Linked DNA regions of Macaca fascicularis. The main gene of each other region encodes a partner of the protein of the gene in region 2 in a complex. Links are inferred from orthologs where the notes say so. Each region holds a gene or a part of one and is shown on either strand. Other genes may lie near its edges.

Evidence for each region. Proteins that work in one complex are often made in the same cells at the same time.
Region 1: CWC22 (region 2) and ARMC7 share a complex: the UniProt entries of both Homo sapiens proteins name them as parts of the minor spliceosome. The link is inferred for Macaca fascicularis from reciprocal best matches to the Homo sapiens genes CWC22 and ARMC7.
Region 3: CWC22 (region 2) and BUD13 share a complex: the UniProt entries of both Homo sapiens proteins name them as parts of the minor spliceosome. The link is inferred for Macaca fascicularis from reciprocal best matches to the Homo sapiens genes CWC22 and BUD13.

The regions. Positions count from the first base shown.
Region 1 is NC_088390.1:81,488,036-81,493,988, forward strand, and holds the start of ARMC7 (armadillo repeat-containing protein 7), read left to right. Parts: upstream 1-2,062; 5' UTR 2,063-2,355; coding exon 2,356-2,446; intron 2,447-2,529; coding exon 2,530-2,673; intron 2,674-5,953. UniProt on the Homo sapiens protein: As a component of the minor spliceosome, involved in the splicing of U12-type introns in pre-mRNAs.
Region 2 is NC_088386.1:75,510,706-75,516,003, forward strand, and holds part of CWC22 (pre-mRNA-splicing factor CWC22 homolog), read right to left. Parts: intron 4,095-5,298; coding exon 4,017-4,094; intron 3,422-4,016; coding exon 3,269-3,421; intron 1,641-3,268; coding exon 1,513-1,640; intron 12-1,512; coding exon 1-11. UniProt on the Homo sapiens protein: Required for pre-mRNA splicing as component of the spliceosome. As a component of the minor spliceosome, involved in the splicing of U12-type introns in pre-mRNAs. Promotes exon-junction complex (EJC) assembly.
Region 3 is NC_088388.1:115,623,429-115,629,508, reverse strand, and holds the start of BUD13 (BUD13 homolog), read left to right. Parts: upstream 1-2,189; 5' UTR 2,190-2,215; coding exon 2,216-2,358; intron 2,359-3,101; exon of another isoform or gene 3,102-3,152; coding exon of another isoform or gene 3,153-3,196; intron 3,197-5,080; exon of another isoform or gene 5,081-5,138; coding exon of another isoform or gene 5,139-5,176; intron 5,177-5,271; coding exon 5,272-5,365; intron 5,366-6,080. UniProt on the Homo sapiens protein: Involved in pre-mRNA splicing as component of the activated spliceosome. As a component of the minor spliceosome, involved in the splicing of U12-type introns in pre-mRNAs.

The DNA of each region.
Region 1 (5,953 bases), on a different chromosome or scaffold from region 2:
CTGGGCACAGTGGTGCGTGCTGGTAATCCCAGCTACTCGGGAGGCTGAGGCAGGAGAATCACTTGAACCCGGGAGGCAGAGGTTGCAGTGAGCCGAGATCGCCACTGCACTCCAGCCTGGCAACAGAGCGAGACTCCGTCTCAAAAAAAAAAAAAAAAAAAGGGAGAAGACCAATGAGGGAGGATGGGATGGTCCATCTGATTCTGCAATCCCCACTTAGCTGACGGCCTGCGAACCTCTAGAGGAGGTCTGGGGCAGTTCCCGGGCAGGGAGGATGGAGCTTACTTCCATTCTCCCTATTTCTGGGCTCCTATTTGCTGCTCTGTCCAGCAAGAGGCAGAAAAACTCCTTGGGCACCCTGGGGTGACATGCACTTCCCAGGCTGTGGAGGCTCCCAATAGAAGCCAAAGGGCTTTGGTGAGGGTCCTCGGGCCTAGGCACACAGACTAAGGTCGAAAGTCCTGCGTCAGAGGATGTGCATAGGGCAGGGGCTGACCACAAGGACCTGAAACCTCAGAGGTGAGGCCTGCTTCCAATGGGGCTGCAGCTGGCTGGAGCATGTAGGCCACTCTGCCTTCACCCAGGCCCAGGACTTAAGATATGGTCCTTGCCTTTGTCAACCTTAATAGGAGAGGCTCTCTCAAAGAAAATAGTATCTATTTGGGCATAGGGCATTGCAAAGGTAGTATCCATGCCATAGTAAACTATATGGGTATTCAGGGAGGTAAAGAAAGAAAGGCTTTAAGGGAAAAAATAGGATTACATAATTGTTTTGAGATAATTATCCTTAGGTAGAAGAATTAGTAACAAGGGTGACCAGTTCAACGTTGGACAGGAAAGTTGCTGGGCAGATGGCCATTCAAAAGTATGTTTTGTGCAAGGTTGGGGTTTTTGCAGAATCTTTGTGATAGTTTTCATTATCAGATATTTATGCATGAGAACCCTCTTGTCATGGTTTTCTCCGACTCTGTCCGGGTTTTTTTGTTCTGTTTTTTTTTTAACACAAGTGACTCCAATTAGATTAACAACTTTTGCATTCTCAGGACACTCACAGCCTAAGCCACCTCTCTACCCCTACGTTGTCAAACGCGATGGGAGTGTAGTAAGGCCACCTCCTTCCCTGGTGCTTTGTTCCCTGTAACCACGAGTAGTAATCCATCACACACCTGCTTCCCGAGAATCCTCGAGAAGGAATCGGCCGAAGGGCTTCAGCATCCAGAAAGCCCCGAAAGCGCCACAAACAAGGCTCTTCCTCGGGCTCCCCGGTGCTGCCCCGGGCGCGCGCCATCCACCCGGCTGACAAAAAGCACCAGGACATGACCCCGTCCCCTTTGATTTCTGTCCAGAGGTGGCGGACTCACCTCGGGGCTGGGATAGAGGACGGGTCGGGGTCGCTACGCTTTTTGCAAAAGGGTCAAAAGACTGATGGGGGTGGGTAAGGAGCTGACGCCCGCGCTCTAAAGGGGCGTCCTGGTCAAGGAGGCTGGGCCGCGCCCCGCCAGCCATGGGGATCCTGGAGGTGCTTCTGCCTCGACGTCCTCCCAACATGGGTGCTGCCAGACTCCGTTGCGCTCCTGAGTTGCTCCTCACGTCATTCCAGCCGCCCGACATGGGTGCCTCACTTTCGGCTTCTGGGCCACGTCGGGGCGGCGGAGGACCCGGGGGGCCGGGCGGGAGAGTGGGAAAGGTGGGGCGGGAAAGCCGAGAGAGGCCCTCACCCGCCTTCCTGTTGGCGGGGGCGGCAAGTGGGTTTCTTTCTTGCGTTCAGATTTTGCAATAATTTGCAGCTGGACATAGGATATGGGAGACAAGGCTGCTCCTCGCAGTACACCCACCCACGCCCATACCTCCCTCGGCGAAGCGTGTCGCAGCGGGTTCCAGCGCAGGCTAAAGAGCTTCCGCAGCCAGAAAACCGAAAGCGCGCCGCGCACGCGCGCCAAGGAGTTCGGCGACGGCCCCGCCCCTCGCCTGCCTCGTCCCGCCCCTTCCGCGCCTTGTAGGGTGGGGACAGCGCGGCTTCCGCCGGGAGCCTGGAACCGAGCCCGGCAGCCGGGGGCTGGGCGCCAGTACCCACTCCGCCAGCCCCAACCCGCAGACGGTTCCCTGTCTCCCGCGCCCCAATTTCGATTTTCAGACCCAACTCCTACAGGATTCTGAGACCCCGGCCCATCTCCCCACATTCCATTTCCAGCTGCAAATTACTGCAGAGTCTGAACCCAAGAAAGAAACCCATTTGCCGTCCCCGCGTCTTCCCTCGCCAGACAGGTGGAGAGTGGGTGAGGGTCTCGCTCGGCTTTCCCCCTGCACCTTTGCCACCCGCCCGCCCGTCCCTGGGGGTCCTCCGTCACGCCGGCCATGGCCCAGAAGCCGAAGTTGGACCCCCACGTCGGGCGTTTGGGATACCTGCAGGCGCTGGTCACGGAATTCCAGGAGACCCAGAGCCAAGGTGAGAGCCACGGTGGGACCAGGTGACAGGGTCGGCTGTGACCGCCGCCCGGACCTGGCTCCAGTGCCGCTTTCCCGTTGCAGACGCCAAGGAGCAAGTCCTCGCCAACCTCGCCAACTTCGCTTATGACCCCAGCAACTACGAGTATCTACGGCAGCTGCAGGTCCTGGATTTATTTCTCGATTCGCTGTCGGAGGAGAACGAGACCCTGGTTGAGTTTGCTATTGGTAAGGGCTGGGCCCGTTCGCTAGATGGCTAAATGGGCCGGGGTGAGATAAGTGAGTTACAAGTGAGTCCTTGGGGCCTGGCGTGGTGGCTCACACATGTAATCCCAGCACTTTGGGAAGCCGAGGCGGGGGGATCACCTGAGGTCAGGAGTTCGAGACCAGCCTGGCCAACATGGCAAAACCTCGTCTCTACTAAAAGTACAAAAATTAGCTGGGCATGGTGGCGAGTGCCTGTAATCCCAGCTAAGCGGGAGCAAAAATTAGCCGCACACAGTGGTGTGCACCTGTAGGCCCAGCTACTCTGGAGGCCGAAGCAGGAGGATTGCTTGAGTCCGGGAGGCAGAGGCCAAAGTGAGCTGAGACTGCGCCACTGCACTCCAGCCTGGGCGACGGAGTGAGACCATGTCTCAAAAAAAGATGTTTTAAAAAGAGCAGTTTTGTAGCCAGGCGCGGTGGCACACGCCTGTAATCCCAGCACTTTGGGAGCCCGAGGCAGGCGGATCACCTGAGATCAGGAGTTCGAGACCAGTCTGGCCAACATGATGAAACCCCGTCTCTAACTAAAAATACAAAAATTAGCCGGGCGTGGCGGGCGCCTGTAATCCCAGCTACTCGGGAGGCTGAGGCAGGAGAATCACTTGAACCCGGTAGGCAGAGGTTGCTGTGAGCCGAGGTGGCGCCACTGCACCCCAGCCTGGGCAACAGCGAGACTCCGTCTCAAAAAAAAAAACAACAACAATTTCAGGTGGGTGAGGTGGCTCACACCTGTAATGTCAGCACTTTGGGCGGCCGAAGCAGGCAGATCACTTGAGTCCTGGAGTTCAAGACCGGCCTGGCAAAAGCCCATCTCTGCTAAAAAAAAAAAAAAAAAAAATTAGTCTGGCGTGGTGTCCCAGCTACTCAGGAGGCTGAGGTGGGAGGATTGCTTGAGCCTGGGAGGACGAGGCTGCAGTGAGCTGGGATTGGGCCACTGTACTCCAGCCTGGGTGACAGAATGAGAATCTGTCTTAGAAACAAAAGTAACTCATATTTAGTGTTTTCATATCAGGAGAAGCAGAGATGGCTTGCAGTCTGTAACTTACGGCTTCTTTTGTAGTTATGATCTTAAGACCTATTGATTTATTCACTGGGCAGATATTTACTGGGCATGTACCGTATATGTAAACTACTGCTCTAAATGCTGGAGTATGGTGAACAGGTTAGGGAAAGTGTTTGTCCCTCAGGAGCTTACATTCTAGTAGGGGGGACAGGTGGTTAGCAAACAAAAAAGATGATGCTCAGCAGCAAATAAATGGGGTGATGAGAAACAGCAGTAGAAGGTGGTGGTTACTTCCGTTTTGGCCATCATGAGAAAGGCATTTTAGCAGGGACACAGCATGGGCAAAGGCCTTAAAACAGGAAGGAGCCAGAAGGAAGATGAATGTGGCAGGATCGTTATAGTGAAGTGGAGAATGGCACAAAAAGAGGATAGAGAGTTAAGCGGCACCAGAGCTTGCCGGAGCTTAGATCTAGGCCGTGGGAAATAGTTTGAAGCAGACAAAATTTTGAGAACAAACAAAAATCCCTGTTTCAAGCCATGCACAGTGCTCATCTGTAGCCCCAGATAGGAGGATCGCTTGAGCCCAGGAGTTTGAGGCTGTAGTGTGCTACGATTGCATGATTGCACCTGTAAATAGCCACCGCACTCCAGCCTGGGCAACACGCGTGTGATCACCTGGCTGAAGTCTTGTCAGGCTTCTCCACTGTAAAATTACTCTTTCTTTCCCCTCTTTACGTATTATGTATTATACCCATTGGAAGGAAGTCACTACATAAATTATCTTAAATCTTTTTCTTTTTTTTGAGATAGGGTCTCACTGTGTCACTTAGGCTGGAGTACAGTGGTGTGATCATAGTTCACCATAAATTTAAACTTCTGGGCTCTAGCAGTCTTCCTGCCTTAGCCTCCCGAGTAGCTGTGACTACAGGTGGACACCACCATGCCCGGCTTTTTTTTGTTTTTAATTTGTTTTCGAGAGGATCTCACTGTGTTGCCCAGACTGGTCTCGAACTCGGCTTTTTTTTTTTTTTTTTTTTTTTTTAATTTGTTGTCGACACACGGTCTCACCGTCTTGCCCAGACTGGTCTTGAACTCCTGGCCCCAAGAGATAAATCGCTTGTAACCCTAAACAGACCCTCATTTCATAACACTGATTCTTGAAGGCCCCAACCAGGAATGCAAATGTTCCCCCTTCCGGTTTGTCTCATTGCCTCTTTGTGGTTTGTTTCTTTATCCCCTTTATTTCCTATAATCTAGAAATTGGGTTGAAAGTCTTGATAGGATCAAGTAACACATTTTATTTTATTTTATTTTATTTTATTTTATTTTATTTTATTTTATTTTTTGAGATGGAGTCTTGCTCTGTCACCCAGGCTGGAATGTGGTGGTGCGATCTCAGCTCACTGCAACCTCTGCCTCCTGGGTTCAAGCAATTCTCCTGCTTCAACCTCCCGAGCAGGTGGGATTACAGGCGCCCGCCACCATGCCTGGCTAATTTTTGTGTTTTTAGTAGAGATGGGGTTTCATCATGTTGGCCAGGCTGGCCTCAAACTCCTGACCTCAGGTGATCCGCCCGCCTCAGCCTCCCAAAGTGCTGGGGTTACAGTCGTGAGCCACCACGCCTGGCCCAAGTAACACATTTTTAAAAATACATTATTATAAGTGTGATTCAAATTTTTCAAAGACCGCCCAGGTCTCCTCTAAAGAGGAGAGGAGAGGAGGTTCCTGGGACTAGACTACAAATGAGGGTCTTCTCTCCATGAGGGGGCTCCAGCACATGTGTGGGCAGATTCACACCCCCACAGACAGCTGCCCCTTGGCCACTCCCTGGGTTTGGAAGTGCACACACCAACGGTGGCATTCACCCTTGGGAGTCAGGATCCAGGAAAGAGGCCCATGCGGCCGTGGGAGCGGGTTTAGGGCCTGGAGCTCCAGGTACAGGGGAAGGGCGGCCCTGGGCTTTGGGTAAGTTCCCTGGACTTACTGCCCTGCAGAGGACCAGAGTGGGGCCTGCTAAAGCCAAGCCAGCGCAGGAGCCCTAGTTGCCCAGGTCCCCGAGTGATGCCAGCTCCTCTAGAAGATTATTATGCCAAACAAATATGCTAAAAAGTTGGTCTCTAAAATGTCCTCTGTCCCCTCCCTTTTCATGCCTCTGCCCCACACACAGCTGCTGCTTTCTGAATGGTGACTGTGGCCCCTGCAGATGCATGTGGCTAAACCTCCACCAGGGGGCAATAGAGC
Region 2 (5,298 bases):
GCTGTAGAGTTCTAAAAAGGAAAAAAATAAAAGAGAACAGATTGCTTAAAGATAAAAAGGCAAAATCCTTAGTCATTTTTCAGATTTTTGATATATTAAATTACTAAATGAAATACAACCAAGTAAAGTTGATGTCACCTATTAGGTTAGGCTACGTGTTATCTAAATGAAATGAGTAGGGTCAAGTAATAATGTACCAAACTTGATTTCTATCATTATACAATGTAGGAGGTTTTTAAAAAAACCTTTTTTACACACGCAAAGAAAAATATATACACGTATGAATATATAGTATACATATACACACATATGTATATAAAGTATATGTACAAAAAATGTTAAAAACCTCCTCTGTTGTATGTACACATACATACACATATGTAGAACTGTGCAAAGTACTGGGGGAGAGGTGAAAGTAGTCAACAAAAGGGAGAAATCAAGGATGAAGACCATGTAATTACAGTATCTATGGACTGAGACAACAGAAAGACACTAACAAAACAAGGTGGTTTTGGACATTTGGTTTTCAGCAATGCACTGAATAACTACTCAGTGGAGTCAGAAAAAACTTTCTCATAGAAAACGGTAAAATATAAAAAGAATGATTAAGAGCTTGCCAGATAGATCAAGAAGACACGGAAATGCCAACAGTAGAAACCGAGGTAAGCAAGCATGAAAGAGCCAGATGTGTTTCACAAACTTGGCAATGTTGGTGTGGCTGGAGTACAGCTTGCTGAAGAGAGAGAAGATGAACCTGGTCAAGTAGACAGGGACCAAATAAGTAAGTATATGAAGCCAAGAGAAGTGGATGAAATAGTCCAGAGACAGTGTGTGGAACTCAGGAACACTGAAGAGGCAGGCTGAAGAGGAGACTGAGAGAGGAAGTGAGAAGAAGTGTGGAGCCACAGTGAGCAGGTGGTCAACTGCGTAAGTGAGGCACAGAAGTAAAGAGGCATGCGGCCTGAGAAAGACAACTGAATATGACAGGTGGTCACTGAGAAATCTGAAAAGATGATTTCAGTAGTGTCAATGGAGTAGAAGTCAATCTAAGTGGCAATCTGAATAAATAGGAAATAAGAAAGGTGAGAGAGGATTACATAATAGTCCTGAAATAAGGCTCTAGTTCCATGCAATAGACTTGAAAAATTATTAATAGATGAAATATATATTCAAAATTGTCCACTGATAATATTAGTTATCATTCTAAGGCTTAAAATTAGGGTAAAAAGAAAATAAAATTATAAATATCACTGGAGAATTCAAGTGAGCATACAAAAATAATTCTGTATTTTCTAAGAAAATTTAAAAAGGCATTAATTTGAACTCCATTTAAACTAAAAACCACCATTAAAAGTTGCACGTTGTCCTGTGAGACATAACATGAGATTCATAGTGATTAATGTCCTAGGGGGCTTAGTACTTGTTTTTACAATCTTGGATGGGCTTATATCTGCTACAATGAGAGAAAACCAGAGGTCAGTAAGAATAAAAAGTGCTTAATGGCAAACTTACTCATCCTTTAATCTTGCATTAAGTTTAGGAAGACCCATGTATTCACACAGTTCCTGGAAAAATATTTTGACAAAAATTCTACTGGATGATGTAGTGGTTTCTTCACTCAGTTTTATACATTCAAGAACCTGAAAATTAAAGTTTAAAAAGACAAGTATATTTAAATTTATAAAAGACAGGACAGAGTGACCAATATTTGTAGGTTTGTTTCTCAAAATTACTATTTATTCCCATCTTCAACCAGAGTTATCTCTGAATATCTCCCCTTAATGCTGATACAAAGTTTAAAACTTCTCTATACTAACTTTCAAAATGTTAAGATGCTACAGAAATAGATTTCATTCTCTGTTTTGAGTAATGTGCTTTTTATAGCAGGGAAGATATCCTCTCTTGAGCATATAATGGTAAAGATTACTAGCTCCTATACCTTACTCATCAAAATGTGGTGTATATGAGGGTTTGGGGCAAAATGCCACTTAGCACATTAGACTACAATTTTGTTTACCACACATATGATTAAAAAAAAAGACAAAGTATGATGGTTTATTCTGAATATTAAGACTGTGGCTTAAAAACTGAAATGCCTAAAGAAATATTTTTAGGGCAAATAAAAATAAAAGTAACCTCCAGTTTTTATGGGTTATGTGTTCGGGGGGCCCATTAGTTAATTGTTTAAAATTCTCATTTCATTTTCTCAAAGAGGGGAAAAAAGAAGTCAAAAATTATTACAATTAGTCTCCTAGGTTAGATTACAAATGCCTATTAATGCAGCTGGACATACTTGGTACTTAAAAGTACTATAAAAATCTAACCAATGTTTATAAGTTTGAGATATTGCTTCATTCTACCATTAGTACGATGGCATTCTACCATTAGTAGGATGGCATTCTACAAGATAATCCTGTTCTTTCCTCCTGCCTCCTGGATGTAATTTCTCCTCTCCTCTTCTCTTCTCTTTCTTTCTTTCTATTCCTTTAGCAATTTTGCTTTTCTTAGAATCTAAGACTTTTTATTTTGTATCATTGCTATGGGCATATCTTACTTCTGATCTTACACAGTAACCCTCCTGAAAGAAGGGGCCATGTATAATTCACTTTGAATACCCAGCACCTCTCTCAATGACTCAGTATATAAGTGGTGGCTAACTAACAGTGGTTGAATAACAGCTGTAAAATAAATGCCAACTTAATGAAAGCATTCTAAATTTCAATCCAGTGCACATTTCCCCATCAAGAATGTATCTTTCTTTCTTCTATGACTATAGGATATCCTCTCTATAGCTTACCCAACTTCAATGTCTGCTAAAAAGAACGAATCTTTCTAAGACAATCATTTTTCTTAAACCCAACAAGAGGATCCACGGAGAGTTATTCCCTTAGGAATCAAGGGAGAGTAATTCAGAGACACATTTACCACCAAAATAGTGGCATATGTGGATGTGAGTGTGCGTGCATGTGTGTGTACAAAGAGAACACGAAAATCTGCAGTATTTTTCCTGAAGACACTCCTAGCCATCATATTGAAACACTGGCATGTTTGGACAGTTAATATAATACAAAGACAGTATTTCTCGTGTATTACTTACCTAGCTTTCTGATTCCTTATTACATGAAGATAATCTTAAAGACAGCAGTTCTACACATTTCATTTTAAAGCACATTTCATAATAGGATAAATATAGCTAGCTTATACCAAAATCTATTTGAGAATAATAGGGAATTAGGAAGGAAGTATAAATATTGACCCATGTACTTACACTCCATGGAAGTGAATCGGTGTATAAAAGGTGAGCAAACATCTTAGCAACATTTCTCAATTTGTTTGTTTCCAGGCGATGGATGGTATCATACTGTTCTTTGAATATACTTTCAAAGGATTCCATGTACTCTTTCTTCAGCATGCAAAATCGCTAATAAATAAAAAATCAGTACCATTAAAAATTGAATGTTAATACAATTATGAGCATATTAAATCCTAAATTTACTGAATCAAAACTTAATATGTTTTATATTTTCAAAGAGCATATATCACTAAATCCTTTTGTGCCATTTGATGCTCAAAAAAGAAGTTAATATACATGGTTTATAATTATCTGAGATTTACATGTTAAAACAAAATCATACATATAGCTGATCACATGTGGGTAGAGCTTAAAGAAATATTGTAGATCATGCTTTAATTGAGCTGCCTGAACATGTACTTGACTTTAGAAACTGCTCTGAGATTTTGAAAAGACAGTATTTAATTGTTCTCTATTGGGAAATTGTTACAAAGCATGGAAAATTCCAAAAAGTTCTGGAAAAGTGATATGCAAAGTTAAAGGACTGCAGAAATGAAGCAGAAAAAGAGGAAGGTGAAGACAGCGGGAAACCTGAGGAAGGAGAGAATAATTTGCTTTTAGCAAAAATGGTAATATGTTGTTATATGAGGCCAGACCATAAAGCAGAAATAATTAATTTACAATATTTGTTTTAAGAATTCCCTTAGTAGATGCTGGAACTCACCCCAGCTAATAAGCCAAAAAATTTTTCATATGTCCTCTGTTGGGCACAGCAATCAAGTATCATGTTGCAGAGTTCTTTCTATTTGGGAAAAAAAAATACATTAATGATTCAAAACACAAAGAGACTAAATATTATATAATTTACTAGTATGATAGTGACTGCCTGCATTTTTAAATAAGGGTTTAAAACACTTCAAAAACTTTGTAAATAAAATAAAAACCTCAATCTATGTTAAACTCATAATTTTTTAAAGCCTTGGGTCCGGCTGACAGTCATTTATGCTTCCACAGTCATTATACTAATTATATTAATTATAAAATTCTAAATTCATGATAAGTATGAACCATATCAAGAAACCTAGTATAGGAAACAGACATATAAGGGAGAGATTTAATACACTGCATTCTTTAAGGATTCTATGCAGAATTCTTTTAAATACAGACTCACCAACACAACATCTAACAATTCAGTTACATATGTCCCAAGGATATAAACTCAATTGCTAAGGAATATATTTAGTATGGAAAAGGCAGACCATTATTAGTCTTTACAGAGGCATAAAAGGGTACAACTTCAACGTTAACATAAACCACCCTTTGGTTGATAAAGAAACATCAAAAAACACTCTGTGGATGAATTTTCTCACCTCAAAATAAATGTTATTCACATAGACTTATCTATATGGATCTATATGAATAAATGGAATCATTCCATACCTACTAGTATATTGTTCCAATTAGCTATTCAGGTGCCATGTAAACCTCTCTGAAAATTCTGTTAAACTAATGGATAAATCCCCAGTAAAAAAATACTATCACCACAGCTGATTTCTAATTAACAAATTAGTTTTTAAATTAATATATTAATTCCTGAAATAATTCAAATGAAATATGTATTGATTATAGCAATGTCATAGATGAAAAAACTCAGCAACATAAGGTGAAGAGACAAAATGAAAAAAGGTATTAATTCATCTGATTAGTGTAATCTCTTTCTATAAAGATTTATCAGAAACTTAAAACAATTTTCCAAATAGAGTAACTGTAATATACTTGCATTGTACAAACAGAAAGCAAGCCTATAAAAACGTGTTGCTTTTTAATTTTGACCTTTATATTTTCAATTAACAATTTTGACATTTTGTCTTATTTACTAACACAGGATACAACCTAAGTAAAAATAGTAAATATTTTTAAAAATTATATCATTAAGTATTTACTGCATATATCTATGTTAACGGACATGTCAGAGACTCCAGAGGAGGACTTAGGGCAAGAAGTAG
Region 3 (6,080 bases), on a different chromosome or scaffold from region 2:
TCTATTAGAGACAACTGCAGAGAGAGGCCAAAGCTCAGAGCAGGCCACTGGCACTGGCATCTGATCCTGCTTAACTGCCCTGCAGCGTAGGATGGAGACACTTGGGTCTTGTCAGGCTAAGGGATGGGGTAGGATGGCTAGTGGTGGAATTGAAGAAAACAAATGGGCAGAAGGTGGCTGGGTGGAAGTTGAGCGGGCTATCCTGGCAGTGTTCACTGGAGAAGTGTGAGGCTTTCTGAATGCCTGCTGACACCAGGATGGGGCAGGGCTGTGCAGTGCAGTGCAGTGTGAGATACACCAAATTGGACTAGAAGCCAAGGCAGGGTGTGTAGGGGGTACCCCTGGGGCCCTCCACCTAGTGAAGCCCTATCAGCCCAGTGTCCTCTCACCAGCCCTCAGATCCCCAGCCAGTTTTCCTTTCTGGGCCTGTACTGCAACCCCCTCAACATGGCCCACTGGGTAAAAATTCATGCTTCAAGACTGATCCCCAAGCCTGTTTTATATTATATGAGTAAAGAATTTTTAAACACTTATCCCCAGATAATGTGTATTTATGAAGTATAGCCCTATCTGCTTGACTAATGTATTAAAACTGTCCTTTTTGACTCCTGGTCCAAGAAACTATTGTCTGCACTTCTGTGTAGTTGTGTATAGCATCCTGCAAATTCTGTCAGAAGTCTGTGTTTTCAGTAACACTAAAACTTCTCTCTCAAATGATACAAATTTTCAGCTTTAAGACAAGTTATGGGGAATGAATGTACAACATACTGACTATAGCTAATAATTCTGTATTGTTTACTTGAAGCTTGCTAAGACAAATTTAAGTGCCCCCCACCAAACTAGTACATAAATAAGTCTAGTGAAGGATGTTTTAATTAATTTGATTTTGGTAATCATTACACAATGTATAATTATATCCAATCATCACATTGTACACCTTGAATATATATAATTTTTGTCAAATAACCTTAATAAAGCTGGGAAGAAAACGATAAAAAAGTGACAATCTAACATATGATAAGGTAAAAAGATATTTCAAGAAATTTGGATGACCTCTTGCACCCCACTTTGCTAGCCTCTACTCCCAAGAGTCATGTTCTGGCTATGTGAAGTTGAGCAACTTCTTAAATCTTGCCAAGCTTCAGTTCTTATCTGTAAAATGTGATATTGAAACGATTTGAGAATTGTGAGGGTTAAATGAGATAATTCAGGTAAAGCTCTAAAACCCCTGCCAAGAATAAAGTCTTTTCTTCCCCCCCAAAACTTGAGTATTAGAATTCATTCTCTCTGGTTTCTCTCTTTTGCTATGCTAAAAATAGATCCAGGTCCTTTTCATTGTCAAGATGTTAGTTTCCTTCAAAAGATAACTGCGAGCTACTTGTAATATAACACCAGAAGAGTTATACAGGTCTTAGAAACTACGTTTTTCATAGTAATTATGTTGGTTTGCACTTCCTGGCTTCCCTTCTCAGACGGTAGGTACCTGGAAGCCTAGTGGAGCAGATTCTCCCCACTTGAAGATACTTATAAAAATAACGAACATAGTTCCGATGACCATATGCCCACCATATGCCCAACACTGCTCTGCGCACTTCACACAGTAGTGTTATCTCAGCCTGTGACCATTCCGAGTTAGGTGCCGGGATTCTCCCCGCTTTGTGATAACTTGCCCGAGGTAGTACAGCTAGCCAGCTATGGAACCAGCGCCTGTAGTCCCAGCTACTCGGGAGGCTGAGGCAGGAGAGTGGCGAGAACCCGGGAGGCGGAGCTTGCAGTGAGCTGAGATCCGGCCACTGCACTTCAGCCTGGGCGGCAGAGCGAGACTCCGTCTCAAAAAAAAAACAAAAAACAAAAAACAAACTCGGCTACGCTGCAGCCTGTGGCCCTCCACTTTCTTGCCCGTGCTCTGCAGTTTAGGTAACCTCTGGGGGCGGGGTCTTTTGGGTCAGGTTGTGGCCTCACAGAACAGCGCTTGCTGCGGTTGGATGGATGGGTGGGTGGGTGGATGAAGAGAAGAAACCTGGTGGCGTCGTCCCAGGGCTGTGGAGCGCCCCGAAGGTGAGCGCATCCCCCGCGAGGGCACCTGCCAGCCGCGCAGTTCTCAGCACTCTCCGCCACTTCCGGCCCTGGCCCCGCCCCCTCGGGTGGCTGGCGTCCGTTACGCGTTGAGGAATTTTGTCCCCAGCGCCGACCCGTCTCTGCCCTCGCCGCTGCCATGGCGGCAGCTCCGCCGCTTTCCAAGGCCGAGTATCTGAAGCGTTACTTGTCCGGGGCAGATGCCGGCGTCGACCGGGGGTCTGAGTCCGGTCGCAAGCGTCGCAAAAAGCGGCCGAAGCCTGGCGGGGCCGGCGGCAAGGGGTGAGTTGGTACCGGCCGGGGCGGGGCCTGCAACGACTCGCCACCCCTCACCCTTCCCAACTCCGCCCTCGGTCGCCTGGCGACTCCTTCCCTCTTGGCGGGTCTCCCGGCTTCTCCGCCGACCCCTGCTCATGCCCAGGGCCCCACTCACATCGCTTGAGGCCCCGCATTGCCTCTGCCGCCCCGCTTACACCTCGAGCCTCTGAGCAGTAGCGTCAGTGCGTTAGAGCCGGGCTGTAACTTTGATTACTCTTTTCCCGCCTTGGTAGACTTCCGTCCTCTCCCATGGAGAATGAATATTGCGCCCCGAGAATAATGGAGCGGATTCAAAGCCTCTGTGCTTGAATCTTTAGGGCCCGGTACCTGCCTGTGGGGATTCCCAAATCCCAAGGACTTGGTTCTGAATCAGAGACCTTGGATCACCTCCTGTTACTCTTAGTAATAGTCCTACTAACAAGAGAAGTTAACATTTACATAATTATACTTTTCTTGCCAGGCAACATTATAAGAAATTTAAACATAAGTTTGTTTAAGCCTTACAACAGTACCATGAACTGGGTATTATTTTCAAATGGGAAAACTTTGTGGCCCAATATAGTGGGCCCTACCAAATCGTTTTCCACCCAGAACCACAGAATGTGACATTTAGAAATAGGGTCTTTGGAGATGTAATCAGTTAAGATGAAGTCATACTTGATTAAGGTGGGTGCCAAATACAAAATGACTGTTTTCCTTTTAAAAAGAGGGAAGTATGGATACAGACACAGCAACAAAGGAAAAACGACCATGTCTAGATGAAGGCTGAGATTGGATTGGATTTATGTTGCCAAAAGCCAAGGTATGCCTGGGGCTACCAGAAGCTGGGAGAGGCAAGGAAAGATCCTTCCCTACCGACTTTGCAGGGAGGATGGCCTTGCAGACACCTGGATTTCAGATTGCTAGCTTCCAGAACTGTGAGAGTTTCTGTTGTTTTATGCCACGCAATTTTGTGGTACTTTGTTACAGTAACCCTAAGGCACTAAGATACCCAGTGAAGTCACATTGTTCTAAAGAACTAGTCCATGTTGTTTTCTGGTTTGGTGCTTGCCTTATTATTGTCCTCGTCTTTCTGCTTCGCTGACTTGTGTGGATCCTTTGGAGGCAGTGCCATGTGATGAAAGTAGCTTGAGTGTTGGAGCAGCACTGGTCAGAGTTCGAATCCTAGCTGTGCCACTTTATAGGCTGTGTACCCTTGGGCAAAGTGTTTCATCTCACTGAACTGCAGTTTCCTTATCTTTAAAATGGGAATAATACTGAATAATAATGCTTTTATGAAGTGGTGGTTGTGATTAGAGGGATTGCATTAAGTGACCCTGGCTTTTTGAATAACTTCACATCATGGCAGTCATGGTTATTATTGGGGCTCAACTATAGTTTATCCATGTAACAAGCATTTATTGAATACACTGTATTCCAGTTACTGAGGATGCCTCTGTGAACAAAAAGAAACATAGTCCCTGTTCTTGTGGAGCTTATAGTTTAGTGGGAATACAGGCTTTAAGCAACTAATTACACAACTAATTGGTGTATTTTCTTTATGATAAATGCAATGAAAGTATTCCAAGAGTTTTTAACAAGAGTTCTTAGTCTTTTTTTTTTTTTTTTTTTTTTGAGACAGAGTCTCACTCTGTCCCCCAGGCTGGAGTGCAGTGGCATGATCTCAGCTCACTGCAAGCTCCAACTACAGGGTTCACGCCATTCTCCTGCCTCAGCCTCCCAAGTAGCTGGGACTACAGGCACCCGCCACCACACCTGGCTAATTTTTTGTATTTTTAGTAGAGACAGGGTTTCACCATGTTAGCCAGGTTGGTCTCGATCTCCTGACCTCATGATCCACCTGCCTCAGCCTCCAAGTGTTGGGATTACAGGCGTGAGCCACTGGGCCCGGCCGGGTCCGTGGTCTTGAGTGAGTGTGAGATAGTGGGGGAATCCGGGAAGCAGTCAAGAAAAGTTTGCCAGACTGGGTGCGATGGCTCTCGCCTGTAATCCCAGCACTTTGGGAGGCCGAGGCGGGCGGATCATGAGGTCAGGAGATCAAGACCATCCTGGCTAACACAGTGAAACCCCATCTGTACTAAAAAAATACAAAAAATTAGCCGGGCATAGTGGCAGGCGCCTGTAGTCCCAGCTACTCGGGAGGCTGAGGCAGGAGAATGGCACGATCCCGGGAGGCGGAGCTTGCAGTGAGCTGAGATTGTGCCACTGCACTCCAACCTGGGCGACAGAGCAAGACTCCGTCTCAAAAAAAAAAAAAAAAAAAGTTTGCCAAAGGAAGTTAAATTTGTGTTAGGACCTGAAAAATGAGGAAGAGTTTCCTGGAATGAGGAAGAGTTTCCTAGCACTTTGGGAGGCCAAGGCGGGTGGATTGCTTGCATATAGGAGTTTGGGACCAGTCTGGGCAACATGGTTAAACCCTGTTTCTACAAAAAATTAAAAAAAAAAAAAGTCAGGCACAGTGGCACATGCCTGTAGTCTCAGCTACTTGGGAGACTGAGTGGAGAGAATAACTTAACCCCAGGAAGTCAAAGCTGCAGGGAGCCATGATGGTGCCCCTGCACTCCAGCCTGGGCAACAGTGTGAGACCCTGTCTCAAAAAAGAAAAAGATTGAGAAGTGTAGATCAGGCAGAGGGAAGGAACTGCATATGTGAAAACTGATGTGGTAGTAACTTGGCTCCTTCCTAGGCACCAAAGGATGACCCAGGGAGGTGTTCAACCAAGGAAGTAGCAGTAGGAGATTAAGATGACCTTGAAGACAAAGACTGGACCATGCAGGATCCTGTAGGATTTTGAACTTTTATTTTAAAACCAATAGATAAGTGTTTTTAGGCTGGTATCCTAGAATGACTCTTTTTGATCTTCTTCTTCTCGTTTAGAATGCGGATTGTGGATGATGATGTGAGCTGGACCGCTATCTCCACAAGTAAACCAGAAAAGGAGGAAGAGGAAGATGATGGAGATTTGCCTGTGGTATGTATCTTTGGGGCTCTCAGGATTTTGAAATGAAGCAAGCTTCTCAATTTTTTTTTTTTTTCAGACGGAGTCTCACTCTGTCTCCTGGGCTGGAGTGCAATGGCGTGATCTTGGCTCACTGCAACCTCCACCTCCTGGGTTCAGGCGATTCTCCTGCCTCAGCCTCCTGAGTAGCTGGGACTACAGGCACCCGTCGTCATGCCCGGCTAATTTTTTTTTTTTTGTATTTTTGTGGAGACGGGGTTTCACCATGTTGGCCAGGCTGGTCTTGAACTCCTGACCTCAGGTGATCCACCTACCTTGGCCTCCCAAAGTGCTGGGATTACAGGTGTGAGCCACTGTGCCAGGCCAGGCTTCTCAATTTCTTTTCCCAGCTCAGGGTAGATTTGTAGGGGGTTAGTTGAGAACAGAAAAGAGGTGACAGTTTCCAAAGAGCTGTTTAAAATAGTTTTCTTTGCTGATGCCTATACACCAACTCCTCTCTTTGTGGAGGGCCCATCAGCCTAGAAATGAGACGGATCACAGAGAGAGGACTTCTCAACATCAGTGATAGAGTAATGATGTGAATTGGCTGTGGTTCAGTTTGTTGGAATCTTCCTTAAAAACAATGCTGAGGTTCAATTATAGGGAACTTTTTATTTGCTCCTTTTTTTCATTGATTTAACCAAACTTTCAAATTATATATTCTTGCCTAAGTACTGGAGATATGTAG